Linked DNA regions of Sus scrofa. Each later gene encodes a partner of the first gene's protein in a complex. Links are inferred from orthologs where the notes say so. Each region holds a gene or a part of one and is shown in the gene's direction. Other genes may lie near its edges. The genes, in order: CCNA2, RBL1, CDC6, GMNC, SAMHD1, CDKN1B and E2F1.

Region 1 (3,926 bases):
ATTTGTTGGAAAACAGTGCTTCTTAATTATATACCATTATAATTATTAGATATGTGCAAGCCTTGTATATTAAATGTTAGAATTTGTTAAGGCACATATTGCTAACAGAGTTTTATTTTAATAAGGTCATATTGTTTTTACTATATTTAAACATTCATTTCTAAATGGAGCACATAATTATATATAGATCACTAGAATTTTACTCTGCTTTTTGTTGGCTACCACAGCTTGGGAAAGAAAGAGATGAACATTAATGACCATCTAGTGGAGTTTTTTTGTAGTACATTACTCTTTGCTACATCTATCAACAGTAGTACAAGGTGGTACTTCAAAATAACTGCATCATCATTAGAAAAATAAAAAGCATGACTGTGCGAAGCACTTAAATGGTAAGATGATGTAGTCTGCCACTTGAGTATCAGTTACGTTAGCAGTGTGTTAAATGACTTATGCACGTTATTTAATACTAAGGACACCTATATAACGCATAAACATTATTACTCCCAATTAACAGTTACAAAACTGAGAATCAACATTGAAGTGCTTGAACAAGATCACCGGGCCAGTAAGTGGGCGGATCAGATTTTAGACCTTGAGAAACTAGTCAGTCGAGCTAACTGGAGGTCCTGAGGCTAAAGGCCAAGGTGGCCCACTAATAATTGTTAAAATTTAATTTAGTTTATTCTAGAGACAGCCCTTGCTCTGAGACAGGGACCCCCTAGTGGCTCCGTTTAAAGTCACAATAAGCTTAGGCCCCGCCTCTTTGCGCAGCGCGGGCGTACTTCCTCCTGCTGCTCACCGACTTTTCTTCGCCCCGCTCCGCCCCTGCTCGGTTTCCTTCGCGGCAGCCTTCACTTGCCTGCGACTGTGTCGCCCAGCGTGACGTCACGGGCCTTGGCCCTTATCATTGGTCCATTTCAATAGTCGCGGGCTACTTGAACTGCAGGAACAGCTGCCGCTCCGGCGGGCTGCTCGCTTCATTCCGGGGGCGTCCTTGACCCTGCACGCCCGGCAGCGCCTGCCTCCGGCTTTTGCAACCTCCTTGGTCCTGCACGATCCTGAGCAGGCGGGCGGGCAGGCTGGCCCGGGCTGTGGCGGGTAGGTAGGGCAGGAGTGTTCCTCGGCGGGTCGGCGGGACGCAGTGCACGCTGCTTGGCGCCGCAGGCTGATCCCGTCGCGCCCCCGGGAGCAGTGATGTTGGGCAGCTCCGCGCCCGGGCCTGTGGCCCGCGAGGCGGGCTCGGCGTTGCTAACATTGCAGCAGACGGCGCTCCAAGAGGACCAAGAGAACATCAACCCCGAGAAGGCTGCGGCCGCCCAGCAGCCCCGGACCCGGGCTGGGCTGGCGGTACTGAAGGCCGGGAACTCACGGGGTCCAGCGCTGCAGCAGAGGCCTAAGACGCGACGGGTAAATGAGTTATTATCTGGAGGAGGGTGGGCCAAGCGGGAGTTTTGCATGGGTTTGGACCGCAGAGGAGAGTGGCGAGGTAGCATCTCCTGGGGTTTTTTCGGGAGGCCAGTGTCGGGGGTCCCTTTGACCTCTGGTTTTCTCGAGTGTGGGATGCCACATTACCCCCATTCCTTTCTCCCATTAGTCTCCCTGCCAGCACTATGCGTTTATGTTGCCTGTCTGCTCTATGGAGAGTATTTTGCTATAGACAATAATGGTCAAACCAAATCCTCCGACGTTGAGTATGTGTTAAGTACGGTCTTTGCCGCCTCCGCGCCTTTCTCTCAGCTTTTAGGCCCCAGGCATTGCCCGGACCTCCTTCATGCTACCCACATAATTAAGAGATTACCTCTACTTTAGAAAAAGGTATAAAAAATACTTTGCTTTTGGACAATTCCGCCATCTTACCGAATTTGCTCTGTTGCTCCACCCTGGGGCGAAAGAGGTAAACCACTTTTTTGCCATTTCTCCTAAATTTGGCATCTTTTGGCCTGCCCCACCACCTATCTTAGCCCTGATTATTTTTGTGTAATCCGTTAGTGTGACTCTAAAACCTCTGCAGGAACGCATACTCAAATTTCCTTGCCTGAATTTTGCCCCATAAAGTTTAATTTTCCTGATAGAGTATTTGGAAGTAAATGCAGTATAAGGGGATGAAAGCCAAATTCCATTTAATAGACTCAAAGCCAGTTATTTATTTTTAGGTTGCGCCTCTTAAGGATCTTCCTATAAATGATGAGCATGTCACTGTTCCTCCTTGGAAAGCAAACAGTAAACAACCTGCATTTACCATTCATGTGGATGAAGCAGAAGAAGAGACTCAAAAGAGGCCAGCTGAATCTAAAAAACCAGAAAGTGAAGATGTCCTGGCTTTTAATTCAGCTGTTACTTTACCTGGACCAAGAAAACCACTGGTACCTCTTGATTACCCAATGGATGGTAGTTTTGGTAAGTTTTAAAGAATATCTGTATCAAATAAATGTAATCATAATTATTGCATAGGTAAGTTTAGAAAGGCTGTGACTTATTTCAGGCCTCACAGTTTATCCATGACCTAGTGACCTACAAAAGGATCTTAATCCTATACTCTCTGGTACACTATTAATCACATCAGTTTTATTAGATCTCAAACACTTACTTTAATCTGACCCTGGACATGTTGCTTGATTGGGAGAATATATTTCAATTGTATTCTTAAGATTCACTTTGTATATACCATTTCAAAGAGTGCTATTTGAGGATGTAGTTTAAATATTGTGATCAGGAGTTCCCGTTGTGGCGCAGCGGAAACGAATCCGACTAGGAACCATGAGGTTTCGCGTTCAATCCCTGGCCTTGCTCAGTGGGTTAAGGATCCAGTGTTGCCATGAGCTGTGGTGTAGGTCGCAGATGTGGCTTGGATCCCACGTTGCTATGGCTCTGGCGTAGGTTGGCAGCTACATCTCTGATTAGACCCCTACCTGGGAACCTCCGTATGCAGTCCGGTGAGGCCCTAAAAAGACAAAAGACAAAAAATAAATGTTGTGATCAACATCTCTTCCAGCTTTAAACTTTTGTTTAAAAGCAGTCTGAGTGATTGACTGACACCAGGGAGGGACATGGTTATCCTGTGAGTCACAGTTGAACTATGCTTTTTTGTACATTACCACATATAATAGATGGGCTCACTAAATCTAGTATATTTTAGTTCTGTCAATGAGAGGTATAGCAGGGAAGTCCTTTGAAAATAAAATAATTTGTGTACTTTTATTTAAAATGTACAGGAGTTCCCTTGCGGCTCAGTGGGTTAAGGATCTGGTGTTGCCATGTTGTGACTGGTTACAGCTGTGGGAGGGTTCCATCTCTGGCCTGGTAGTTGCCACATGCCCTAAAAAGACCAAAAAAAAAAGAAAAAAGTAAAATTTACAACAAATTTTAACCTCAGATTAAACCTTGAAGTAAAAACATTAATAGCTGATACTTTTTGCCTCCAAAGATAATCTAAATTTACAACAAAGAATCTCCCCTTGATTGTAGTGTTAATAGGTTGGAACTGCCCATAACAAATATAATTCTCTTTAGCACACATTAGCCTTCTAGTTACCGTCTAGATTGTGCTTTGAATACGTCAGACTTTGGGGTCTGTAAGCTCCCTTATGACAAATCCTAGGTATTACCTCAAAACTTGATTTTAACTTATTCTGACAGAACCGTTGTACTCCTGTCATGGGAGATGAAGGATACTTTAACAAAATATCTTTTCCTCAAATTCTTTTTCCTGTTAATGGCTTATCAGTATTTTTTTTTTTTTCTTGTTAAAATCATTCCAAAGCTAGGTGGACAGAGGTACGAAAATCAGAGTGAAATCCTCTATGTATTTTGTCATAAGAAGCTCTTTTTAGTTGGATAAAATAAATGCTTTGGTAGTATGGGACTCCTTACAAGGACAATCACTTTTAGCTTTAATTAGATAGAAAATTAAAAGTAACTTAATCTTA
Region 2 (2,716 bases), on another chromosome or scaffold:
AGGGTGAAGCATGAGAATTTGCATTCTTAATAAGTTTCTAAATGCTTCTGCTGCTTCTGGTCTGATATCCACATTTTGATAACTACTGCTATAAGGTAAATCTAATTTTTAAAATCATCTCTATCCCAGTGTTTAACTTTGTATAGAGGATAGAAGGCAGGAAAAAACAGCTCAGTTCTTTGCTGCTGCTGCTTCTTTTTCCCTTTTTACTCACACATGTCCTGTATTTTTGCACAGAGTTTGAAAGATATCAACAACATGATAAGGCAAGGTGAGCAGAGAACCAAGAAGCGAGCAATAGCCATCGATGGTGATGCAGAATCACCTGCCAAACGCATCTGTCAAGAAAATGATGATGTTTTACTTAAAAGACTACAGGATGTTGTCAGTGAAAGAGCAAATCATTAGAATTTTTTCCATTTCTATGATAAAAGCACTTTCAAGTTGTTTTGCGGAAAGCTGGGGGTCTATCTTTCAAAATGTTCAGTCAGCCCTGTAGGAAGTAAATATCACTGAGTTACAGGAAAAATTACACCAAAATTAAGCAGTTTTTAAAAATTTATCCAAAATATAGTTGACAGAGATGTATACTGAGTTGAATTATAAAGGAATTTTTAAGTGCCTTTTAAACGTATTAATAGTTGTAGAATTTTTAAAATATTTGTTCCTTGGGTTTTTCAGACGAAGTAAGGAGAAACCCCATAATTTTGTTAGCTCACTTTTTGAAATAATTCAAATGTCTTCTCCTTCTAGACTTTGTAATATGAAAGTGAATCATCTGTTTTTGCTTTAAGTGTGCTTTGAGATGGTTGTATTCCTAGTTTAATGTTGAGCACAGGTGGTACCAGCCTGTCTCTGACCCAGGGCGGTAACTCCACATCCAGGTACCACTACCCTTCTGGGCTGTCCAGATCCTTTTCATGCCCTTTGTTTCCTTGAGCAGAAGCAGATTCAAACCTGAACCAATGCACTATCCCTGCTACTTCTTACTTTCCAACCCTAAACCCTCTTAGCCTGGTGTCACAACCTAATAAAGGAGGTACTTGCTCCTTTTTACTTTTTATTTTTTGGGCGTGCCAAGGCATGCAGAAGTTCCCAGGCCAGGAATTGAACCCATGCCACAGCAGCAGCTGGAGCCACAGCATGTCACAGCAATGTGACATGCCACAACAATGACAGCTGGAGCCACAGCAATCCTCATGCAGGATCCTTAACCTGCTGAGTCACCAGGAAATTCCTCTTGCTTCTTTTTAATACTATCATTTTGTTTTCCAAACCATTAACTTAATTATACTTGATTATTTTATGTCATAGAATTCTCAAAATAGGAAGCTGCTTCTCAGGCCAGTAGAGTAAAATACAGAAAAAAGTTGTTAGAATTTAAATTTCCTACCATGATAATATGTGAAATACTATTTTTGAGGTCATTGTAGATTGGTCATTCTCAATGTCTAATCGATTCCCTAAGAATAGTTGAAATCTTTTTTAATTAATTACTATCACCTCATGCCTTATCATTCTGCTATACATCAGAAAACAGCTGTTTATTACTCCTTCCCTCTTGGTTCTCAGTATCACTCATGCCTTGTGAGTTTCCCACTAGGGTTTGATCCCTGGGGCCTCTTAAGGATGTTTTCCAGGGCTAGGGGTGCAGCTTTCCAAAGAATCAGCTGTTCAGTGTTCACTTTTTCTAGTGTGTTTCCAGATTCTGGAAGGACATGGATAAGCCATTCTTAATTAATTTTGAGGAAATGTTATCAGATTTATGTTTTTTAAGCTGCAAACCTTATTTTTTAAAATATGAAATATTTAACTTAACCTTTGTCTAACCTGGGCTAATTTGAATTTGCTTAAGATTTGACTATGAATTAGTAATTACGATTGTCAGGAATTTTATTTTTAAATTTTAAGAAGAAAAGTGACTTTGGTCAAATTTTACGTTTCTGAAAATTATATCCGAATTTTTTTGTGTAGTATCTACACATGTTATAAGACAAATAACATCAAATCTGTCTCGAATCCTTGTATATATTTTTGTGTAGCTGTAACTATTGTGCCATTTTAATCGTCATTATTAATGTGCAAAATGTAAATGAGCATTTGTACATTGTCTCTATAAGAAACTCTGGACAAGTTTTTATCAGTTTTCAAGACTGGATATCAATGTACATAAAATGGTTAATAAAATATTAGAGTTTTGAAATTATTGAAAAAACTATACTTGTGCTCTTTTCTGTGTGACTAGAATATATATCTCTTTTATCCACTTTATATCTTTCAGATATCTTACTGTAACTTAAAAGTTAATGTTCTTAGTACTTTCCAGGAACTTGGAAGAGCATAGAGTGAGTAACTGCTTGATGAGTGCAGGGGATTTTTAGAGGTGATGAAAATAATTTTGAAATTTGATATAGCTGGTGATTGCATAACATCGGGAATTTATTAAATGACACTGAATGGTACTCTTTAAAATGGTTAATTTTGTGTTAGGTGAATTTCACCTCAGTTGAGAAAAATGCCTTAGATACATATAAAAGATACATTTCAAGGCCTTAGAATGGACCAAATGTAATACTGAATTAAGGAAGTCTTCTCTCTTAAGAGTGCTTTCAGATGTGTTTCTCTATTTGAGACTCACAGCTTAAAAATTTTCTAATTAAGATTTTTGTGTGGTTAGATTATGTTAAATCATATTTAAAAAAAGGTAATATTTCTG
Region 3 (3,500 bases), on another chromosome or scaffold:
GATTTGGATGTGAAGCAGAACTAAATGCTAAACTATTGCTAGAACATTTATGAAACAAGTGTTGATTATCGATGTGAGTTCCATGTTAGTTATTTTTCCTTCACTTTTGCATATGGACTGGCTGTCTTGTTCTCTTTTTTGTACCCAGCTGTGTTGCCGTCATGCCTCAAACCCGCTCCCAGTCACAGGCTACAATCAATTTTCCAAAAAAGAAACTGTCTCAGACATTGGGCAAAGCAAAAAACTCCAGTGACACCAAACTAGAACTGACAAATGTCAAGGCCATACCCCGTTCACCTTGTGAAAAAATTCTGCCTCTTAGCCCCAGAAAACGTCTGGGTAAGTTATCTATTACTTAAGTACAAGTTTTTGACTGGTATCTCTCAACCTCTCTTTTCTCAACAAGATGCCTTGGGGGGAGTTCCAGTTGTAGCTCAGCTGGTTATGAACCTGACTAGTATCCATGATACTAGAAGTATCCATGAGGATGTGGGTTCAGTCCCTGGCCTCACTCAATGGGTTAAAGATCTGGCATTGCCGTGAGCCGTGGTGTAGGTCGAAGACTAGGCTTGGACCTAGCGTGGCTGTGGCTGTGGCTGTGCTGTAGGCTGGCATCTGCAGCTCCGATCTGACCCCTAGCCTAGGAACTTCCATGTGCCACAGGTGCAGCCCTAAAAAACAAAATAATAATAATAAGATGCCTTTGAAACAGCTTTCAGAGTTCAGCTATGACCACTCTATTCCCTTTGGTTATTTTCAGAATGGTTGCTAAGTGCTTAGCACTTCAAAGTTAAGCTACTTGTTGAGATCATTTTCTAAACTACTTAATAGATATAATCTTCAGTTCTTAACACTGAACTTTGTTCTGTCAGTGTTTCAGGTTACCTTTCAGTTGGTTATATAGTATTTTTTTTTTTTTTTTTTGTCTTTTTGCTATTTCTTTGGGCCACTCCCGCGGCATATGGAGATTCCCAGGCTAGGGGTCCAATTGGAGCTGTAGCCACCGGCCCACACCAGAGCCACAGCAACGCGGGATCCGAGCCGTGTCTGCAACCTACACCACAGCTCACGGCAACGCCGGATCGTTAACCCACTGAGCAAGGGCAGGAACCGAACCCGCAACCTCATGGTTCCTAGTCGGATTCATTAACCACTGCGCCACGACGGGAACTCCTCTATAGTATTTTGAAACTTGGCTCAATAGTTATGAAATTAAGAGAAACAGGTGACAGAGTTCCCTGGCGGCTCAGTGGGTTAAGGATCCAGCCTTGTCACTGCTGTGGCTGTGGGTTTCTTTCCAGGTCCAATTTCTGCACGCTGCATGCACAGCCAAAAAAATAAAACTGAGAAACAGGTGACAATTCTTGTTTTAGAACGGTGGTGATCCTTCCTTGTTTTTAATGAGGGGTGATTTGGCAGTATCTGGAGACGTTTTTAGTTGTCATAACTGAGGGGGTTCTACGGACATAGTGCCCTGCTTTAGAGCAATCCTAGAATTTCATCCTAAACTAAAAACCCTTTTGGTTTCTACCAAAAGGTAGTAAATTCAGGGCTGCCATCTGGTGGCCAATATTTGCTCTGGCTGCAAGGCATTTTATTTTGGCGGTTCTGAGGGGCAGAAATTCATTTCTTTGGGGGGAGGGGGAGATGCAAAGAGCACGCCAAGCCCTTTTACCACCCACTGCTCCGAATGACCACGTTTTGATTTTAATATGTTTCAGGTGACGACAACCTGTGCAACACTCCCCGTTTACCTCCCTGTTCACCCCCAAAGCAAGGCAAGAAAGAGAATGGTCCCCCTCGCTCACGCACACCTAAGGGGCGCAGATTGGTATTTGACAATCAGCCGACAATTAAGTCTCCCAGCAAAAGGGAACAAGCCGGAGTTCACCAAAGCAAAACACGTTCCTCAATTCGAAAAGATGCAGAGGTCACAACAAGTTCTGAGCAGAGATGTCCGCTGGAGAAGGAGTCTGCTCGTATGCGATTGTTCAAGCAAGAAGGTTCGTTCTCGCCTGGCAGCTGTTGGTGCAGCCTTGTAAACAAGGCTGGGGATTCCAAAGGAGGCCCAGTGGGTCGTCTCAGTCACCTCCGTTGTGTCTAATTGTCCTTTCATGTCTGGCACAGGCACTTGCTACCAGCAAGCCAAGCAGGTCCTGACGACAGCTGTCCCGGATCAGCTGCCTGCCAGGGAAAAGGAGATGGATGTCCTCAGGAATTTCCTGAGGGAGCACATCTGTGGGGAAAAAGCTGGAAGTCTTTATCTTTCTGGTGCTCCTGGAACTGGAAAAACTGCCTGCTTAAGCCGAATTCTGCAAGACCTCAAGGTATATTGAGAGCCCGAATTACGGTGCTCTTGCAAAATGACACTTGGTTCTTAAGGGTTAAGAAAGAAAGAGGAGACGGACCCTAGGGGATCGACGTGTTCCCCAAAATAGGATGTCTTTCATTTCACTGTCTAAATCTTTCCAAATGGAAGTGGAGCTTACGCTCTTGTATGCTATTCACTCCTCTAAGACACTTTAGGTTCCGTCAGATCTTTATCTGAGTCTAAAATAACTCATGTTTGCATTTTTGTAGAAGGAACTGAAAGGCTTTAAAACCGTCATGCTGAATTGCATGTCCTTGAGGAGTGCCCAGGCTGTATTCCCAGCCATTGCTCAGGAGATTTGTCAGGAAGAAGTATCCAGGCCAGCTGGGAAGGACCTGATGAGGAAACTGGAAAACCATATGACTGCAGAGAAGGGCCCCATGATGTAAGCACTGCTCTGCCGCATGTCACTCTGTGACAGTCTACAGGGTCTCTTGTCCCCCAGCTCACATTCTCGTCTCTTGCATTTTATCAGGTTGCTCGTAAAAAGTACCTTTCCTAGATTTGCTTTATGAGAGGTAGTTATATAAGCTTCCAGGGAAAGAAGACAAGGAAAAAACAAAACCTTCCTAAATTTAAATTGGGGAAAAAGGGGTTTTAAACTAATTGCTTGAAAAGCCAGTCTGGAGTTCCTGCTGTGGTTCCGAGGAAGCGGATCTGACTAGCATCCATGAGGATGCAGGTTCGATCCCTAGCCTCGATCAGTGGGTTAAGGCTCCGGCGGTTCCATGAGCTGTGGCGTAGGTTTCAGACACGGCTTGGGTCTGGCGTGGCTGTGGCATAGGCCAGTGGCTAAAGCTCCGATTCAACCCCTAGCCTGGGAACCTCCATATGCCTCGTGTGCAGCCCTAAAAAGACCAAAAAAAAGAAATGCCAAGCTGTTGCTTTTTGGCAGTGGTGAAGGTATCATCATAACAGGGACGGGAGGGAGGGCAGATTACGACTGCAGGGATGTGGCCTGGAATCCGTCCGGATCAGACAGATGGGAGAGCTGAGAAGGGGAACGTGGATACTATTGTTTCTCTTTCTCTGTAGTGTGTTGGTGTTGGACGAGATGGATCAGCTGGACAGCAAAGGGCAGGATGTATTGTACACACTGTTTGAATGGCCATGGCTGAGCAGTTCTCGA
Region 4 (3,500 bases), on another chromosome or scaffold:
CAGATCTCTTGACTGGCAATTAGACAAAGCCAGCTACATTGTCTTTTAATGAACTTTTTTTCTCTTACCTTTTGAAAATGAACCGTTTCAGGAGGTCCTCATTGTGGCAAAGCAGGTTAAGGACCCCACAAAGCATCCATGAGGATGCAAGTTTAATACCTGGCCTCACTCAGTGGGTTAAGGATCTGGCATTACCATGAGCTGTGGCATAGGTCACAGATGCAGCTTGAATCTGGTGTTGCTGCGGCTGTGGCGTAGGCCTGCAGCTCCAACTCAGCCCCTAGCCCAGGACCTTCCATATGCTGCAGGTGTGGCTCTAAAAAGAAGAAAAAAACAAGAAGAAGAAGAAGAAAAGAACTGTCTATAACTCAAGGATAATTTTCCCATAGTCTCCTTTTTTGTTCTTCCTTTCTTTGGGTTTTGTATTTTTTGTTATCTATTTGCCATTCTGTTATAACCTCATTGTTTCTATCATCAGTCTTCACTTCTGGACAAGCTACATCATTTATCTACATCAGTCATCAATCGTGCTTCTTATGACTCTTACCAGATATAACAGTTCAGAGAAGAAAAAATTACTATATATTTTTTTTTAGAATTCAGTTATCTTTGCTAAAAAATGAGAGCATAGCTCGCAGTTATTAGTCACAATTCTGTAAAAAAAGGCAATTATTATATTAGCAAGTGGTATTAATTAGGCAATTTTTTTCTCTCTTGTTTCTCAAGTTTCCAAGATTTAGGATAATATGATATATATCACATGAGAGTGCTATGAAAGTTAATAAAATTAGAGGAAGTAGTATTAGGTTAATAAAATTAGAGGAAATGGTATTACATAGCATTTCAGTCAGTGACTGTCTAGACTCTGTTAGCTTAGCTTTACATCTAGGCTGTGTGATCCTTAGCAAGTTGGAAATACACCTGTGCCTCAGTTTCCTTATTAAGGGAGATTTTAATAGTATCTCTATAAAATATGATCACGAATGTAAACCAGTCCTTAATACATGATAGTTGCTATTATTGCCATCATCATTGTCATCATTACTTACCTGAATTGAAATTTTAAAGACGTAATTATTCCTTTTAACTTTTAAATGACTAGTAAAATAATATGAATTTGAATTTCTGGGTGTATCATAGATTTTCATTTAGAAACAGAAGTTAATCCAATCAGTTTTGCTTTTGTGTGTGATCACAGAAATGTAATCGAGATTTCTAAGGAATTAATGTTACTAGTAAATACTCGAGAATAAGTAAGGAAAATGACATTGGTTGATTATCTGATTGTGGATTTTCAAATATTACTTCCCCAGAAATTGTTGTCATCAGATGAATTCTCCAAAGCTTGCGGGAAATTCAGAAAGGGGAAAAGGAAACCCAAAGAGCAAAGATATTTTCCTCCTGAGATTCCCCATCACAAAAATGCCAAGCGAAACCTTTCGAGGGAATTTGCTAACTGTGAAGACCAACCTGGGCCCCCAGTGGATCCCTGGGTTCTTCGAACACTGGGATTAAAAGATCTCAATACCATTGATGACACCTCATCAGCTAACTACAGTGCCCTCTCGTCTCATCCCAGACGGACCACCAGCTCATTTCCCCAGTTTCTAGACCATGCAATTGATTATCCCAGAGCCCCTGGGGAAGATCTGCCACTTGACTGTGGAGGTGATGGAACTGCCTCCTCACACAGCACTGCCAGCCACAGGGAAAATTTCCACTTCCTTTCTCAACCTTCAACCCCCCCAGGAGGGCTACAAACTCTTCCTTTCTATGCTTCTGATGTTTCCCCCAATAAGACAGAGATGGCCTTTTCCACATCCCTGAGCCCTCACTGTAATGTGAAAACTCACTCCTTCCACCAGGGACAAGCCTTTGTTCGTCGTGACGAAGAGGGAGGCTGGAAGTTTACCTGGGTCCCTAAGCAGTCTTAGTGGCCTTCTCTTCTACCACAAAAGGTTGCCATGAACTCTGTTTACAAGAACCTCTTGCACTTGAACCTGAATATGTGGAAAATGCAAGCAATTGCCCAGATTGTCTCCTGCCGCTTTAAATGTCACTCTCACTTACCCACTTAAATCTGCAGGGAATGGCTTCCACGAATCCATAATGAAACATGCCTGCTCTTCTTTCCCCTAAATTTGACTTGTTTATACACCCACACCTGCTGTTAACTTCGTCCCTTGGCCCTATACTTGAAAAGGTATTTTCCAATTGCCTGAATATTCCTTAGAGACCTACATATGCTCTTGCAATTATAATGAGTCTAACAGCTTTTCTTCTTTCATCAAGCAGTTTAAATGTTCACAGCCTTCTCCCTTTCACTTTTATTCCTCTCCTATTCCTCTTCATTTCTAAAAACTGCCTTTGAAATGAGCATTATAATTGCTCCAAGTACCTGTTAGTAAGTGTTCAAATAACTGGGGGTGGGGTAGAAGCAAATGTCTTTGTCCTTTGCTGTTCCAGAAGACGTAAAGTAGGTGTGAGGAATGCTATTTGTTGGGCACTTCATTGGGTGTCCCATGGTGGAGTTGACCAAAAAAAAAAAATCTCTTCAACAGCTATAACTATACTCAACAGCTATAACTATACTCATAATTACTGATACATTAAAAGGTAAAATGAATTTAAATTACTTCAAAATTCCCACATGGTATACAGCTTCTATAGGCATGTGACACTGTGTTTGCAACAAACATGACAAAAGAAGAACATTTTTGAGGGACTATTGGAAGCAGAATAAATCACTATCTTTAACTACGTAGATGCTGATAAATTTCTATCCCTGATGGTATAGTATAGTTTAGCTCTGATGCTATCTTGCTCATTCATTCAGTCATTCATATATTCATTCTTTCATGCATCAACACACCAAAAATATTTGAAGAACACCAACAATGTACCAGGCATTGTGCTATGAGGTGTTAATAAAATGGGAACAAACTTAGATACTATGGGAACCCTTAAGAGATTTAGACTCATTCATCTGCTGACAGAAGTCAGACTAGATAATCACTAACATTCTATAAATGAACCTTGGTGCCATCAGATTAACTCCAGTTCTGCCATCCCAGGGCACCATTCTCTACTTTGATTGTCATTGCAGATATGTTGGTTGAACTTTTTTATAGTCAATTTAAACAAAATGTAAGCCATTTGTAATTAATACTAGAAATCATTGCTCTGATCACTGTATTCTTTTTCTGGTATGAACCCATTTTCCAGGTTAATTCAGTCTATGTGAAAACATGCATCTAAAAGAAAAAGAGACATTATTTTTTAAACATTTGTGCATAGATTTAATGGAAATATTGACATCAAAGAGTTCCCTTTCTAAATTAAAAAAAAATGTTTTCTTCCTGCTATGCTAGTTCTCCTTTTTTTTCCAATTCCCCAATCTCCCTTTCCTTCTATAATTTATTGAAGATGTGTAGCTTTGATTTTGGGGGGACCAAATTTTAGTTGATGATAAAACCCACCATGTTGAACCCCTTTCCCAT
Region 5 (4,273 bases), on another chromosome or scaffold:
CAGGAACTTGTATTGGTAGTAGTAGTTCTTTTACCAGTTAATTGCACAAACCAGGATTTATAGAGAAGTTTGTGTCCTGCCTCAGAGTGGCAAAAATGAGAGGAAGATCCCTGCTATTTCCACAAGCTGTTACCAGCAGGTAGTAAAAGTCCTTGAAAATAAATTGGCCACTTCCTTTCCTCTGGGCAGGGAGTTGGAATGGAGAGAAGGGTTGAGAATTCTTTTAGAAGTCTGAAGTCTGCTCATGTGTGGAAACCTGAAGATAGGCTAAAACTTCACAGACAGGCATCCCCAGGATCCTCTAACTGCCCAGTATATATATATATATATATTTTTTTTTTTTTGTCCTTTTGCCTTTTCTAGGGCTGCTCCCACAGCATATGGAGGTTCCCAGGCTAGGGGTGGAATCAGAGCTGTAGCCGCCGGCCTGTGCCACAGCCACAGCAACACAGGATTCGAGCCGAGTCTGCGACCCACACCACAGCTCACGGCAACGCCGGATCCTCAACCCACTGAGCAAGGCCAGGGATCGAACCTGCAACCTCATGGTCCTCAGTCAGATTGGTTAACCACTGAGCCATGACGGGAATTCTGCCCAGCATATCTTAAAAACTGGTAATGTAGGGGTGTGGAAAAAGAGAATAGGGAGCTTGACAAGAGTAGAGCCATCTTGCCACCATCGTCCATCTTGGTTAACTTAAGCTGACCCATATGAGGGCTCTGAGAAAAGCAAAGTCTCTAGGACTTGAGAAACTCCAGGCCCCAATTGTTCTAAGGATATTTGAAAATAGCTGGATTGTACTTGAGGTTAATTATCAGAGTAACAATGTAAGACATTTTGCACAGCTATACATCTTTCTCTATCCTGCACATAATTAAAAGTTAATGTAGCATGTAAAACATGTCAGCAAGCACTATATCTCTCCCTTTCTCTTTGGGGTCCATGATTGGGAAGCAATTCCCCCGTGGACCCACGAGTGTTAATAAAGCTGTTCTCCATCTTCCTGGGGTGTCCTCTGACGTGATTTCTGGGAATTCTACAACAGTAAAATGTAAGAAAACACCTTCACATCAGATTTGAATTCATTCCAGCATCTTCCAGTTCAGCTTCCTGCCAATTTTTCTCTTAATTGGGAAGACAGGGGCAACTTTAAGGCCTTTGAGGGTTTTTTTTAAGTTTAGGGTATCTGAAACACCGCCAAGGGTAAGCCTGGGGTACTCATTAGCTCAGTTCACCAGAAGAGCCCCTGCTCTGGACTGTAGCGGGACGTCCCAGGCACACTCGTTCCAGGCTCCCCCGCCCTTACCAGCACCTCCCTCAGTTCGGCCTCCATTCACTCCCTTTATCGAAAACGTGCGGGTGGGGTTTAGGGCCATTGGACGGTCATTGCGCCTGCGCGAGGGCTGGGGGGCGTGGGGGTGCTGAGATGGGTGGCCGGCCTGGTCCCAAGGTGCGAGCTGTCAGTGCGCCTGCGCGGGAGGCCTGGGGGCTGGCAGTACTTAGCTGACTCGCGGTAGGCGCCGGACTGTCAGTGCGCCTGCGCGTGGGTAGAGCGCCGGGGTTCTAGGCTGTGCTGAGCCGGTTGCTGGGTGTAGCCATGCAGAGTGCCGACTCCCAGCAGCCCTCCAAGCGACCCCGGTGCGATGGCAGCCCGACAACCCCGCCAAACACCCCTCCAGCAGCGGCAGAGAGGTCCCTGGGCCCCAACCTCCACCCTGACCACCGGACCTGGGGCCCGGAGCAGGTGTGCGGCTTCCTAAATCGCAGTGGCTTCGGCGATTCTGAACTGCTGGAACGCTGCCGAGGTAGCAGGGCTGGAGGGCTGAGGGGCCGGGGGCGGCGGGGGGGGGGGGGTGGCGGCGACCCGAGGTGGGGCCAGCGGACCTGAGGAGAGGGCGCTCTGAGGTAATGAGCGTGGGGCCTCAAAGAGGAGCCAAGTGGACGAGGGAGCCCGAACGCGGGAGGCACCAGAAGGGGTGGACCTGAAGCGGGGCGCCCAGGAGGGATGACCTGAGGCGGAGAACGGAAACCTGAGGGGGCGAGCACTCGGAGAAAGGAGCCTGAGGCGAGGAAGGGAACTTTACGCCGGAGGCACCCAAAGGGGTGGACTGAGGCGGCGGCTCCCAGGAGTGATGGATGAAGGAGAAAGGGGCGGGGGGGGGCGTCTGGGGTCGGGGATCCGTAGGAATGAAGCAGACTTTGGGGATTGCGAACCTAGGGTTGGGGGTGGCAGTTGGTCTGACTCTGGTGGCCTTCTTCAGGAACTTGCCCCGCCGGCGCCGGACACGCGGGACTCAGCTCCCTTTTTCAGTTCGGAGAGCCTGGTGGGAGGGAGAGTTGCTGTCTCCCGAGCGCGCTCTGCTGATGCAGCTCCATGAACACTTGCCACGTGAGGAGGGTATATTTGGGTGCTTTAAAGTTTCTATTTCCTCTGCTCCCCTCCCAACTTGGGATTTTTCTAAAGAGGAAAGAACTTTTCTCCTCATCTCTGAATCCCCATCACCTACCTTAGCATCCCAGTTGGGCTCAATACATACATGCTTGATGACTGTACTTGCAGAGCTTGGCCATGATCATGTTTTGTTCTCCAAAAGCAGTTTCCCTCCCTAAATCAGAGCGGTCGGGTGGTTCAGTTGACCAGTGAACTCCCAGGAGCCCACAACTTGGCCGCATCACACGGGGGAGATGTGTGGGTTGGGTGTGCGACTTTACTGGCTCAGGTTCAAGTATCCATCTGCTTGAAATCTACTCAACTTCCCGTAAGGGGTGTGAGGCTTAACCTATTCTTTACCCTCTGAAGTGTTCCATAGGAAGAGAATGTGATTTGCAAATTCAGCAAACTTTTGCGGTTGTAGGGTGGAGCTTTATTTGCTTAGGCTAGGGGACTAGGGTGGGAGGAACTTTAGTGGTTGAAGATTTAAATTTAAAGATAGCTTAATGGGTGTAGGAAATTGTACTTCTTTTTTTCCTTTTTCCCTTTTGTTCTCCACCACTTCTGGGAATGAAATTTTTCTTTGAGTAGCAATAGGTGGGGATGAAGTTGTTTTTATTTATTGTCTTCAAAATATGATTGCCTATATTGTTGATTCTCTCTTTCGGTGGTGTCCTGTAGATTCATCAGTCTTCATGATGATCTGTCCTCTTGACCCACAGTCAAATACTAGCGGAGGGCATTATGTGCTTTTAATTGGTAGAAACTGACCAAGTATTCATAACTGTACATTTCTTACTACCTGCTTTGTTTTGACTACACTTTAGTCAGTCTGCTCTCTCTTCTACTGACCTCTGAACTCTTATTTGCCCCCAACCTAGAGCAAACACTAAAAAAGTGGAATATGCCCCGTGATTAACTTCTCCAGGGAACCAGTTGACCACAGTGGGACAATATCCTGTCGGGCTGGGGTCACTTCTCCTGCAAAGATTTTACTTAATCTCTGCTTGCCCCTCCTTTACAGTATTAAAAAGACACCTTCTTTTTTGTTTGATTTTGAGCCAATTGTAGACTTCTGAGATCAGAATGTTCTCCCTATTGCAATAATTTTTCTCTTTTTTTTTTTTTTTTATTTGTCTTTTGGTCTTTTGTTGTTGTTGTTGTTGCTATTTCTTGGGCCACTCCTGCGGCATATGGAGGTTCCCAGGCTAGGGGTTGAATCGGAGCTGCAGCCACCAGCCTACGCCAGAGCCACAGCAACGCTGGATCCGAGCCGCGTCTGCAATCTACACCACAGCTCAGGGCAATGCCAGATCGTTAACCCACTGAGCAAGGGCAGGGACTGAACCCGCAACCTCATGGTTCCTAGTCGGATTCGTTAACCACTGCGCCACGACGGGAACTCCCGTATTTTTTTTTTTTTTGTAATCGGTATTTTTTAGCAGATGATGTGTTTGAGATTCAAAGGTCACACAACTAGGAAAAAGTGTGCTGGATTTTAAGGTTAGGTCTTTGGACTCCAGAATTCATGCTAGCTATATCTTAATATGTGTTTTCATCAAAATACATTGGATTCCCTTAAACAATAAGAGAATAAACAAACCAATAAGAAAAGAAAAAAAAAATGGAGAAAAAGTCAGCTAAAAGGAAGGAAAAAAAATCCAGTAGAAAAATGAGAAAATCACAAGGACAGTGACAGCCAACCAGTAAACACAGAAAAAGACATTCACTCACTCAAAATTTTAAGAACACTGATTTTAAAATTTAGATTAAAAAATATTTAAAGAGTGATAATAGGAGAAATGGGTAATCCAGTAAAGTTGATGTAAATGTCAGTTGGC
Region 6 (4,060 bases), on another chromosome or scaffold:
GGGAAGCAAGAACCTGGGCCAGGGGTGTATCCTCGCTTTTTTAAACGAAATGTATCTGAGACAGCTACTAAGTTTATTAGGGACTTGGGAGACCAATAGAGTTTTTGATCTCGAAGCCCTTTTCTTGTTTTTATTGAGGGAGAGCTTGGGTTCAGAATACATTACAAATGCAGCATCTATTCCAGTCTACTTATAGAAAGACGTCCTCCTGGGCTTCCCCCCTAAGCCCCCTGCCTCCCCTAGAACAGCACAGACTTCTAGGTTAAGGGTGAGCTAACCACTGCTCACCCCCAGCTAAGGCACCCAGGCTCAGGGGCTCCCCGCCTCCCCCGCTGAGCGAGCGGTGGGGGCCCCCCCGGGAGAGAGCCCAGCTGGGGGCCGAGCGCCCAGCGGCGAGCCCAGCTGCCCGCCCCTACCCGCTCGGCGAGCGAGGGGAAAATAAGATCGCCCTCGGCGAGGAGAGGGAGGTCGGGGCTCCGGAGCGGAGCGCAGCGCAGGGACCAGAACCCGCCACCTCTCCGGCCAGGCCCCTCCCCGGCTCCCCGGCCTTTTGGCGAGTTTGTCTTATTTTTAATTTCTCCGAGGCCAGCCAGAGCAGGTTTGCTGGCAGCCCGGCACCTCCAGCAGTCACGCGACCAGTCGAGCTCCCGGCCGCGCGCTCGGCGGCGGCGCGCTCGGGAGGCGGGGAGGCGCAGCGGCGGCTCAGGGGCCACCTTAAGGCCCAGCTCGCCAGTCTCGGCTGGGCGGCTCCCGGCGCCGCGACCAATGATCTCCTCCTCTGTTTAAATAGACTTGCGGTGTCAATCATCTTCTTCTTCGTCAGCCTCCCTTCCACCGCCATATTGGGCAACTAAAAAAAGGGGGCTCGTCTTTTCGGGGTGTTTTTCTCCCCCTCCCCTGTCCCCACTTTCTCGCCGCTCCGCGACTCCGACGCCGGCAAGGTTTGGAGAGCCGCTCGGTCGGCGGGACCCGCGGGCTCGCAGCGGCGGGGACTCGGACTGGCTCTGCCCCCTCCTCTCTCCGCTGCGCTCCTCTCCCCTCCCCTCCCCGCCCTCCAGCTCGCCCGTACACTTGATCGGCGGAGACTCGGGGCTGCCTGGCCCGGGCTGCCCCTCGCCCCCTCCCCCAGCCCCAGCGCGCTCCTGACGCTCGGGCGCTTACTCGTCGGTGTTTGTTTCTCTTGGCTCGGAGGGCAGCCGCAGGGCTTATAAGAGGGGCTCGGGCTGGGTCGAGGCGTTTTGTTTTGTTCGGTTTTGTTTTGCGAGAGCGCGAGAGAGGCGGTCGCCGAGCCCCGGGAGGAAGATGTCAAACGTGAGAGTGTCTAACGGGAGCCCGAGCCTGGAGCGGATGGACGCCAGACAGGCGGAGTACCCCAAGCCCTCGGCCTGCCGAAACCTCTTCGGCCCGGTCAATCACGAAGAGTTAACCCGGGACTTGGAGAAGCACTGCAGAGACATGGAAGAGGCCAGCCAGCGCAAGTGGAATTTTGATTTTCAGAATCACAAGCCCCTGGAGGGCAAATACGAGTGGCAGGAGGTGGAAAAGGGCAGCTTGCCCGAGTTCTACTACAGACCCCCGCGGCCACCCAAAGGCGCCTGCAAGGTGCCGGCGCAGGAGGGCCAGGGTGTCAGCGGGACCCGCCAGGCGGTGCCTTTAATTGGGTCTCAGGCCAACTCAGAGGACACACATTTGGTAGACCAAAAGACTGATGCACCGGACAGCCAGACGGGGTTAGCGGAGCAGTGCACTGGGATAAGGAAGCGACCTGCCACAGACGGTAATGACCCTTTCGAATGCATGAAACGTCTGTTTGTCTGCCTCTCTCTGTTTGTCTGCCGTGCTGTTTTCCCTGCTTGAGGATCTTAAACCTCCGCTTTCTTTTCAGCGCATTCTGACTTAGCTCTTGGGGAACACACCTTCCTCATCTTAGGTTTTAAATGCTATTTGGCTAGCTGCTGGTCTGTTTATGACTTTTAAGTCTGAAGCATGAGACTGTGCTATCTGATAATTTCTCTAACTGAAAACATCGCGGCTCCTCCCCGCTAGCCAGCTGTAGGTATGTGACAACGTTGGGATGTTTATCAACCACCTCCCTCTTCGCTTTGGAGAGAGAGAGATTTGGGGCGTAGAATACACTTTCTGTTATGTGAAAACAACCTCATTTTGTGCCCTTAAAGGCCACTGGGAATGACGGATCCAGGATGGTGGGTGGAGGTGGTGGGTTTTTTGTCCCCTCAGTATCGAGCCAACTTGTGTCAGCCATTGTTTTTTCTAATAAAGATTATTTGTGTGTGTTCTTTTTAAAATTCCCTCCTGCCTTTAGATTCCTCTCCTCAAAACAAAAGAGCCAACAGAACAGAAGAAAATGTTTCAGACGGTTCCCCGAACTCGGCTTCAGTGGAGCAGACGCCCAAGAAGCCCGGCCTCAGAAGGCGTCAAACGTAAACTGCTCGGTGGGTTGATCACTGGAAGCAAATAAGTGACACCCGATTTGGGCTGAAGGAACTCATGGGTTTTCAAACACCAAGATACCCGATCTTAGTGGTGTCTGGCAGATTAGAGCTTGTGGGGTTTTGTTTGTATTTTATGAGGTCCAAAAAAAGGAGGAATGGGAAAGACTGGGCATCAGGGTGGGGGTACTATAATTCTTCCCAGTTTCTCTGTCCTGAGATCATTTTCCTTTGAAGCTCCCAATGATTAGAGCAAGTGTCCCAGGCAAATACTTGCAACCAAGGCCCTGTGGGTAGGAAGGTCAGTTCCCTGAGAGTCCCATCAAAACGGTGTTGGGAACAATAGGTTCTTTTTCCATCTGAACAAGAGCGGGGGTCTGCCTCCATCCCACTTCAGGAGAATTCATCTCCCAGAGGACCAAGCTGACTCTAACAGATTTTGAGCCATACATGGAAAAAAATGGCAAATAAATGATCCAGTTAAAACTTTGAGGGAAAAGTTAGGTACAAATGGCTCATATCTGGTTAATCACATGGTTAGAAATGTGAATAGAGAGGAGTGTGGCTTTCTTTTATCTATCGTTTTCACAAAGTGTCACTTGCCCTGTTTTCTGATCAGTGTGGGGGATGGAGAAGGAACCTGTGTATTTAAAAAAAACCAAAATGGAAGGCTCAAAAACGCTAAGGTTCCTATGGAATTTCTGATAACACTGAAGTTACAAAGCAGAAGTTAAGTAACTCTGCCAGAGTAAGCAATCCAGGAACACGTCAGCATGTGTATGCTAATCGTGCTATAACAGGATAATTTGGATATTTGTAGGGGAAATGGATAGTAGATACCAGGGCTGCCACTGGTTAGGGCTACCCCGAACAAGGCAAGTGGACATTTTTCCACCTACTAAAATCTGATCAATGTAAAAAACTAATTTGCATAATTCAGCCCCCCAGCTTTACATGGATTGGTTTCCATAATGATCAAACTACATATATTAGTTAATAGTTTGTACACTCCTTACAGACAATGACCGTGACCTCTTTTTTTTCCCCTCCACAAACACCCTCATAGCTTAGCATTTAAAGAGATCCTAAGAGATGTTGACATTAACTTTCAAAATCCTCATTTATAAAAATTTTAAAATAAAGAACAGGGATGAAGGTAGGGTTCAAGTTTGTTGTGTTTTTACATCAGTGTCACAGGTAGGACTTTATTACATACGTCTGATATCTTTCAGAGCTTATACAACACGGCACTATCGAACCCTACGTTATAGCTGTATATGAAGTGAAAAAAATTTCTGAGTCAACCTTAACACCTGTGGCTCTTGTTGGTTGGTGACTCGTGGCCTAGCTCATCAGATGAGCCACAGCAAATCAGACCTACTGGATTTTGATCTGGCCGCATTCTGACATACAGAGAGGCATTTGTTAGTAAATATTGCCAGTTCAGCGAATACAGGAAATAGTAGTAAGGACCTCTTCTCAAGCATTCATGTGTGTATACTCTTCATACGACTGAGAAACTAGTTTTTTTTTTGGGGGGGGTGAATAGAATTTTCTTTGGTGAGCTTTTCTATTTCCAGTTATTTTTCAAATTTAGAAAATTTTGCTAC
Region 7 (3,929 bases), on another chromosome or scaffold:
CTGTGCCAGGCTGGGAATAGAATCTACATCCTGGCACTACAGAGATGACACCGATCCCATTGTGCCACAGAGGAAACTCCAGCTACTTTTTTTTTGATGGGCCCATCCCCACCAGATGGCAGGCAAGTTCATAGAAATTATCAAGCCTTTCACATATCTGCCCTCAGCGCTGGCACAAAGCCTGGCACAGAGGAGAGGACAATATAACTCAAATCAGCTGAACTGAGCAATGAGAAGTGGCTGATGGGGAGGTCCTGTGGCCTCTGGTTGCTCAGCACACTCACCTCCTCCCTTTGTAAAATCTAACATGGAATTACCTTAATAGTTGAAATCTGTGTCATATGTAAACATTTGTTACCTCAGTTTCCCTCCAGCCCCTTTCACTAAACTGTTAGATCCTTAGGGCCAGGAGTCAAGAAGGGGGCACAGAGCAGACTCTCAAAACATTTGTTGGGGTTCCCAAAGTGGCTCAGCGGAAATGAATCCGACTAGGAACCATGAGGTTGTGGGTTCGATCCCTGGCCTTGCTCAGTGGGTTAAGGATCCAGCGTTGTGGTGAGCAGTGATGTAGGTGGCAGACAGGTCTCAGATCTGATGTTGCTGTGGCTGTGGCCTTGGCTGGCAGCTACAGCTCTGATTTGACCCCCAGCCTGGGAACCTTCCAGGGGGTACCCTAAAAAGCAAAAAAAAAAAAAAAAAAAAAAAAAAAAGGTTTGTTGAATGAACGAAGGAATCAGTTCAAGCAGAAGCTGTGCTTTGGTTGTTGAAGCGATTCCAGCTACAGGAGGCTTTGGAGAAAAGCCCCAAGCTGTACTGGGTCAGACATTCCTCTCCATTTTCTGGCAACTCCTTCTGCTTGTGCTCTGGGTGGAAGGGATAAGGTGGGCGCAGGATTTGAAAGTAAATGGCATTGGTGGGGCAAGTTGAGGAAAGATGTGGCTGGGGTTTTGTAGGTGGGCTTGAGATCCTGGAAAAGAGAAACTGCGTTTGCAGTTTCTAGAGTTATGGCCTGAGGGTGTTGGAGCACCCACAGGTGGGGGTTCTGGGAGGTCACGTGGGGTCTGTGGATAGCGATCTGTGCACAACACACGTTCTGTTGTAAAAGCCTCCACTAAAGGGTATCAACAGGATGGGGTGCGTCGAAGAGGGGGTGGGGCCACCACTCCCCACACAGGGCCGTCCCCTCTAGGGGCGGGGAGTGCGAACGCGCCTGGCACCGCCCCGACAAAGCCTGCGCGCGCCCCATCCTGCGATTGGCGGTGCTTCCTCGCGCCGCCGCCCCGTCCCGCCCTCCGCCGCCGGTCCGGCGCGCTGCAACCAATGGGCGCCGTCGCCGTCGCCTCCGTCACAGCCAGGACAGCCAATAGGCGCAGCGCTCGGCGGCTCGTGGCTCTTTCGCGGCAAAAAGGATTTGGCGCGTAAAAGTGGCCGGGACTTTGCAGGCAGCGGCGGCCGGGGGCGGAGCGGGATCCGGAGCGGGATCGAGCCCTCGCCTCGGCCTGCTGCCATGGGCCCGCGCCGCCGCCGCCGACTGCCACCCGGGCCGCGCGGGCCGTGAGCGCCATGGCCGTGGCCCCCGCGGGCGGCCCATGCGCGCCGGCGCTGGAGGCCCTGCTCGGGGCCGGCGCGCTGCGGCTGCTCGACTCCTCGCAGATCGTCATCATCTCCACCGCGCAGGACGCCAGCGCCCCAGCGGCCCCCGCCGGCCCCGCCGCGCCCGCCACCGGCCCCCGCGACCCCGACCTGCTGCTCTTCGCCACGCCGCAGGCGCCCCGGCCCACCCCCAGCGCGCCGCGCCCCGCGCTCGGCCGCCCGCCGGTACGGACACCAGGGACACTGGGCCAAGTGCGCTGCCTGGACCCCGGCGTAGACCCGGGCGGGGCGCTATGTTTGGCCTGGAGGCGGCGAGGGCGGGGGAGGGTGGGTTGAGGCGCCCAGGCTGGGCGGTGCCGAGCTTGGGTTGGGCCTTCGGGCTCCGCCCCGGGGTGCAGGGTGACCTCGGGCCAGTCCTTGTTTGCTCCTCTGTGCTCTGGGCCTCAGCTTCTTCGCTGGAGCCTGTCTAGGGTCAGACTCAATGATAATAATGGCCCACGTGTATTCAGCTGTTGCTGACTGCCTGCCAGGCCTCTGGCAGACTTCAAGGCAGCTAAAACTCACATCCATGCTGTGAGCTAGCTCTGTGTTGTCACTGTGCCCATCTGAACTGTGCCCAGAGAGGGGAAGTGGCTTGCCCCCTGGTCACAAGGCTGCAAGTGGGATTTGAACTGAGGCCTGCTGGCTTCAGACCAGAACTTGTGGCTGGATGGTGGGCACGGCTGCTTGGGGAAGTCAGGGGAAAGTTCTGGGACCAGAAAGTTGAAGGGCCATTGAGGAGACCCTCCTTCCTGCCTGGATGCTGGACTGCCAGGTGCAGGCCTAGCCCTCCGGGCCTCTGGGGACAGGCCGCCTGGCTGGGAGGCCTTCTCTGCAGGGGCGGGGTGGCTGGGCCAGCTGCTGATTCCCCTCCCTCTGCCTGTCCTTCCATCTGCCACCCTCCACCCTCCCAGACTCTGGTTGCCATGGAAGCTCATTAATCAGGCAGGCAGACCCCTGGCCCCAGTGGAAGTACTGGGTGGGCTGGGCCTCTGGGAGCTGGAGAGGAGGCCCCCAGTGCTAGAAAAGAGTAAATGCCCCAGGGAGATGCCTTGATAAAGTGCTCCCTGAGCAGCAAGAGGCTTAAGACCAATTCAGATTGGGGGGGGGCTCAGAAGAGACCGCTGAGTTACAGGGGGAGAAGGGGGTGGAGGCCTGGAGCTTGGACCTGTGGGCCGCAGGACAGGGTGTGGAGACCAGTTTGACTGGCGCAGCCTGTGGGTAAGGGTAGGGCATGGATGGGCAGGCAGGGGCCAGCCAAGCAGTATGGGGTCTCAGCACAGGGCTTGGAGCAAGTGGGAGGGGAGAGGCAAAGCCCAGGGCAAGGAAGTAGTATCTGCCCAATTACTGTTGGGGGACTGGGTGGCAGCTGGTCCCTGAGGCATCCCACCAAGGTTCCCCCAGTCCCCCTGGCCCCTTGCCCAGTGTGGCCTTCCTTCCGGAATCACTAAGATGCTAATAATAACAATAGCAGCCACCATTATTTTGAGACTGTTTTGTGTGTTAGGCCCTGTGCCAAGCACTTTACCCAATTAACTCATTTAACCCTCTCAACAACTTTCCCCTTTTCCAGGTCGGGAAGCTGAGGCCTAGAGAGGTTAGAACCTTCCCTAGTTACTCAGCTAGTGAGTTGTGAGACCAGTCCAGATTTCCTGAGTGGTTAACCACTAGGATGCCTCGCTTCCTGGAGATGCTAATAGAGGTTGATGAAAGCACAGGACCCCTTCCTCCTAATGAGTGAGGGGGATGGAAATTGTACCGGGGTGGGTCGCTTGGCTGGTCTCCTGCACCTCAGCAACCTGTTACTGCAAGTACCAGCTTGGGGCCTGGACAGGTAGCTTCCATTTAGCTAATTGATAGTACTTGGCTGTGGGGCCTGCCCTCGGCAGTCTGAGCTCTAGGTTCAGAGGGACAGCCAGAGACTGGGCCAAAGACATGCCCTGTGCTCCACTCCTTATGGTGCCGGGGGCAGCCTCAGTGGGCCTGAGCATTCCCTTCATTCAGCACTTGTTGGTGAGTGCCTATGAGGTACTAGGCAGAGGCAGGTAAGGAGCCTCTGCCCCTCAGTGCTTAAGGGCTAGTAGACATTTTTCGCCGTGGGCAGGGGTGGGGGCTGGTGCTGTCTTGGAGCTGAAGTTGAGAAACATGGGCCCAGGTTTTGCCTTGAACATTGTACCTTTCGGTAGCCACTGGCCACCTGAGCTCTGGCCTCCACTGACCCTCGGCACTGGCATTTGTTTGGGGCAGCCCATGAAACAAGCTACAGACTCAGCTTCTGCACAGGTGAGCATTCACCG

What was found.
Region 2: the proteins of CCNA2 (region 1) and RBL1 are in contact, whole or in part, in a crystal structure (PDB 1H28), measured with the Homo sapiens proteins. The link is inferred for Sus scrofa from reciprocal best matches to the Homo sapiens genes CCNA2 and RBL1. Residues at the interface, in NP_001228.2 of Homo sapiens: Met210, Ile213, Leu214, Asp216, Trp217, Glu220, Glu224, Arg250, Gly251, Lys252, Leu253, Gln254, Tyr280, Ile281, Thr282, Asp283, Thr285, Tyr286; in NP_002886.2 of Homo sapiens: Gly654, Ser655, Ala656, Lys657, Arg658, Arg659, Leu660, Phe661, Gly662, Glu663.
Region 3: the proteins of CCNA2 (region 1) and CDC6 are in contact, whole or in part, in a crystal structure (PDB 2CCH), measured with the Homo sapiens proteins. The link is inferred for Sus scrofa from reciprocal best matches to the Homo sapiens genes CCNA2 and CDC6. Residues at the interface, in NP_001228.2 of Homo sapiens: Met210, Ile213, Leu214, Trp217, Glu220, Val221, Glu224, Tyr225, Arg250, Leu253, Gln254, Glu277, Tyr280, Ile281, Thr282, Asp283, Thr285; in NP_001245.1 of Homo sapiens: His89, Thr90, Leu91, Lys92, Gly93, Arg94, Arg95, Leu96, Val97, Phe98, Asp99, Asn100.
Region 4: the proteins of CCNA2 (region 1) and GMNC are in contact, whole or in part, in a cryo-EM structure (PDB 9HIU), measured with the Homo sapiens proteins. The link is inferred for Sus scrofa from reciprocal best matches to the Homo sapiens genes CCNA2 and GMNC. Residues at the interface, in NP_001228.2 of Homo sapiens: Met210, Ile213, Leu214, Asp216, Trp217, Glu220, Val221, Glu224, Arg250, Leu253, Gln254, Tyr280, Ile281, Thr282, Asp283, Thr285; in NP_001140158.1 of Homo sapiens: Asn165, Ala166, Lys167, Arg168, Asn169, Leu170, Ser171, Glu173, Phe174, Ala175.
Region 5: the proteins of CCNA2 (region 1) and SAMHD1 are in contact, whole or in part, in a cryo-EM structure (PDB 9HIW), measured with the Homo sapiens proteins. The link is inferred for Sus scrofa from reciprocal best matches to the Homo sapiens genes CCNA2 and SAMHD1. Residues at the interface, in NP_001228.2 of Homo sapiens: Met210, Ile213, Leu214, Trp217, Glu220, Val221, Glu224, Arg250, Leu253, Gln254, Tyr280, Ile281, Thr282, Asp283, Asp284, Thr285; in NP_056289.2 of Homo sapiens: Lys615, Ser616, Arg617, Val618, Gln619, Leu620, Phe621, Lys622.
Region 6: the proteins of CCNA2 (region 1) and CDKN1B are in contact, whole or in part, in a crystal structure (PDB 1JSU), measured with the Homo sapiens proteins. The link is inferred for Sus scrofa from reciprocal best matches to the Homo sapiens genes CCNA2 and CDKN1B. Residues at the interface, in NP_001228.2 of Homo sapiens: Met210, Ile213, Leu214, Asp216, Trp217, Glu220, Val221, Glu224, Met246, Arg250, Gly251, Lys252, Leu253, Gln254, Leu255, Tyr280, Ile281, Thr282, Asp283, Thr285, Tyr286, Thr287, Gln290, Arg293, Met294, His296, Leu297, Lys300; in NP_004055.1 of Homo sapiens: Lys25, Pro26, Ser27, Ala28, Cys29, Arg30, Asn31, Leu32, Phe33, Gly34, Val36, His38, Leu41, Thr42, Asp44, Leu45, Glu46, His48, Cys49, Asp51.
Region 7: the proteins of CCNA2 (region 1) and E2F1 are in contact, whole or in part, in a crystal structure (PDB 1H24), measured with the Homo sapiens proteins. The link is inferred for Sus scrofa from reciprocal best matches to the Homo sapiens genes CCNA2 and E2F1. Residues at the interface, in NP_001228.2 of Homo sapiens: Met210, Ile213, Leu214, Trp217, Glu220, Val221, Glu224, Arg250, Gln254, Tyr280, Ile281, Thr282, Asp283, Thr285; in NP_005216.1 of Homo sapiens: Val88, Lys89, Arg90, Arg91, Leu92, Asp93, Leu94, Glu95.

Annotation. Positions count from the first base shown.
Region 1 is NC_010450.4:102,259,220-102,263,145, forward strand, and holds the start of CCNA2 (cyclin-A2), read left to right. Parts: upstream 1-1,126; 5' UTR 1,127-1,194; coding exon 1,195-1,407; intron 1,408-2,153; coding exon 2,154-2,397; intron 2,398-3,926. UniProt on the Homo sapiens protein: Cyclin which controls both the G1/S and the G2/M transition phases of the cell cycle. Functions through the formation of specific serine/threonine protein kinase holoenzyme complexes with the cyclin-dependent protein kinases CDK1 or CDK2.
Region 2 is NC_010459.5:40,200,714-40,203,429, reverse strand, and holds the end of RBL1 (retinoblastoma-like protein 1), read left to right. Parts: intron 1-237; coding exon 238-408; 3' UTR 409-2,216; downstream 2,217-2,716. UniProt on the Homo sapiens protein: Key regulator of entry into cell division. Directly involved in heterochromatin formation by maintaining overall chromatin structure and, in particular, that of constitutive heterochromatin by stabilizing histone methylation.
Region 3 is NC_010454.4:22,111,942-22,115,441, reverse strand, and holds part of CDC6 (cell division control protein 6 homolog), read left to right. Parts: intron 1-148; 5' UTR 149-161; coding exon 162-339; intron 340-1,721; coding exon 1,722-2,003; intron 2,004-2,127; coding exon 2,128-2,327; intron 2,328-2,580; coding exon 2,581-2,756; intron 2,757-3,406; coding exon 3,407-3,500. UniProt on the Homo sapiens protein: Involved in the initiation of DNA replication. Also participates in checkpoint controls that ensure DNA replication is completed before mitosis is initiated.
Region 4 is NC_010455.5:128,241,580-128,245,079, reverse strand, and holds part of GMNC (geminin coiled-coil domain-containing protein 1), read left to right. Parts: intron 1-1,313; coding exon 1,314-1,934; 3' UTR 1,935-3,500. UniProt on the Homo sapiens protein: Regulator of DNA replication. Promotes initiation of chromosomal DNA replication by mediating TOPBP1- and CDK2-dependent recruitment of CDC45L onto replication origins.
Region 5 is NC_010459.5:40,169,136-40,173,408, reverse strand, and holds the start of SAMHD1 (deoxynucleoside triphosphate triphosphohydrolase SAMHD1), read left to right. Parts: upstream 1-1,473; 5' UTR 1,474-1,598; coding exon 1,599-1,806; intron 1,807-4,273.
Region 6 is NC_010447.5:59,733,032-59,737,091, reverse strand, and holds the start of CDKN1B (cyclin-dependent kinase inhibitor 1B), read left to right. Parts: upstream 1-1,260; 5' UTR 1,261-1,302; coding exon 1,303-1,777; intron 1,778-2,323; coding exon 2,324-2,445; 3' UTR 2,446-2,453; intron 2,454-4,060. UniProt on the Homo sapiens protein: Important regulator of cell cycle progression. Inhibits the kinase activity of CDK2 bound to cyclin A, but has little inhibitory activity on CDK2 bound to SPDYA. Involved in G1 arrest. Potent inhibitor of cyclin E- and cyclin A-CDK2 complexes.
Region 7 is NC_010459.5:37,187,319-37,191,247, reverse strand, and holds the start of E2F1 (transcription factor E2F1), read left to right. Parts: upstream 1-1,129; coding exon 1,130-1,134; intron 1,135-1,189; coding exon 1,190-1,301; intron 1,302-1,425; coding exon 1,426-1,818; intron 1,819-3,929. UniProt on the Homo sapiens protein: Transcription activator that binds DNA cooperatively with DP proteins through the E2 recognition site, 5'-TTTC[CG]CGC-3' found in the promoter region of a number of genes whose products are involved in cell cycle regulation or in DNA replication.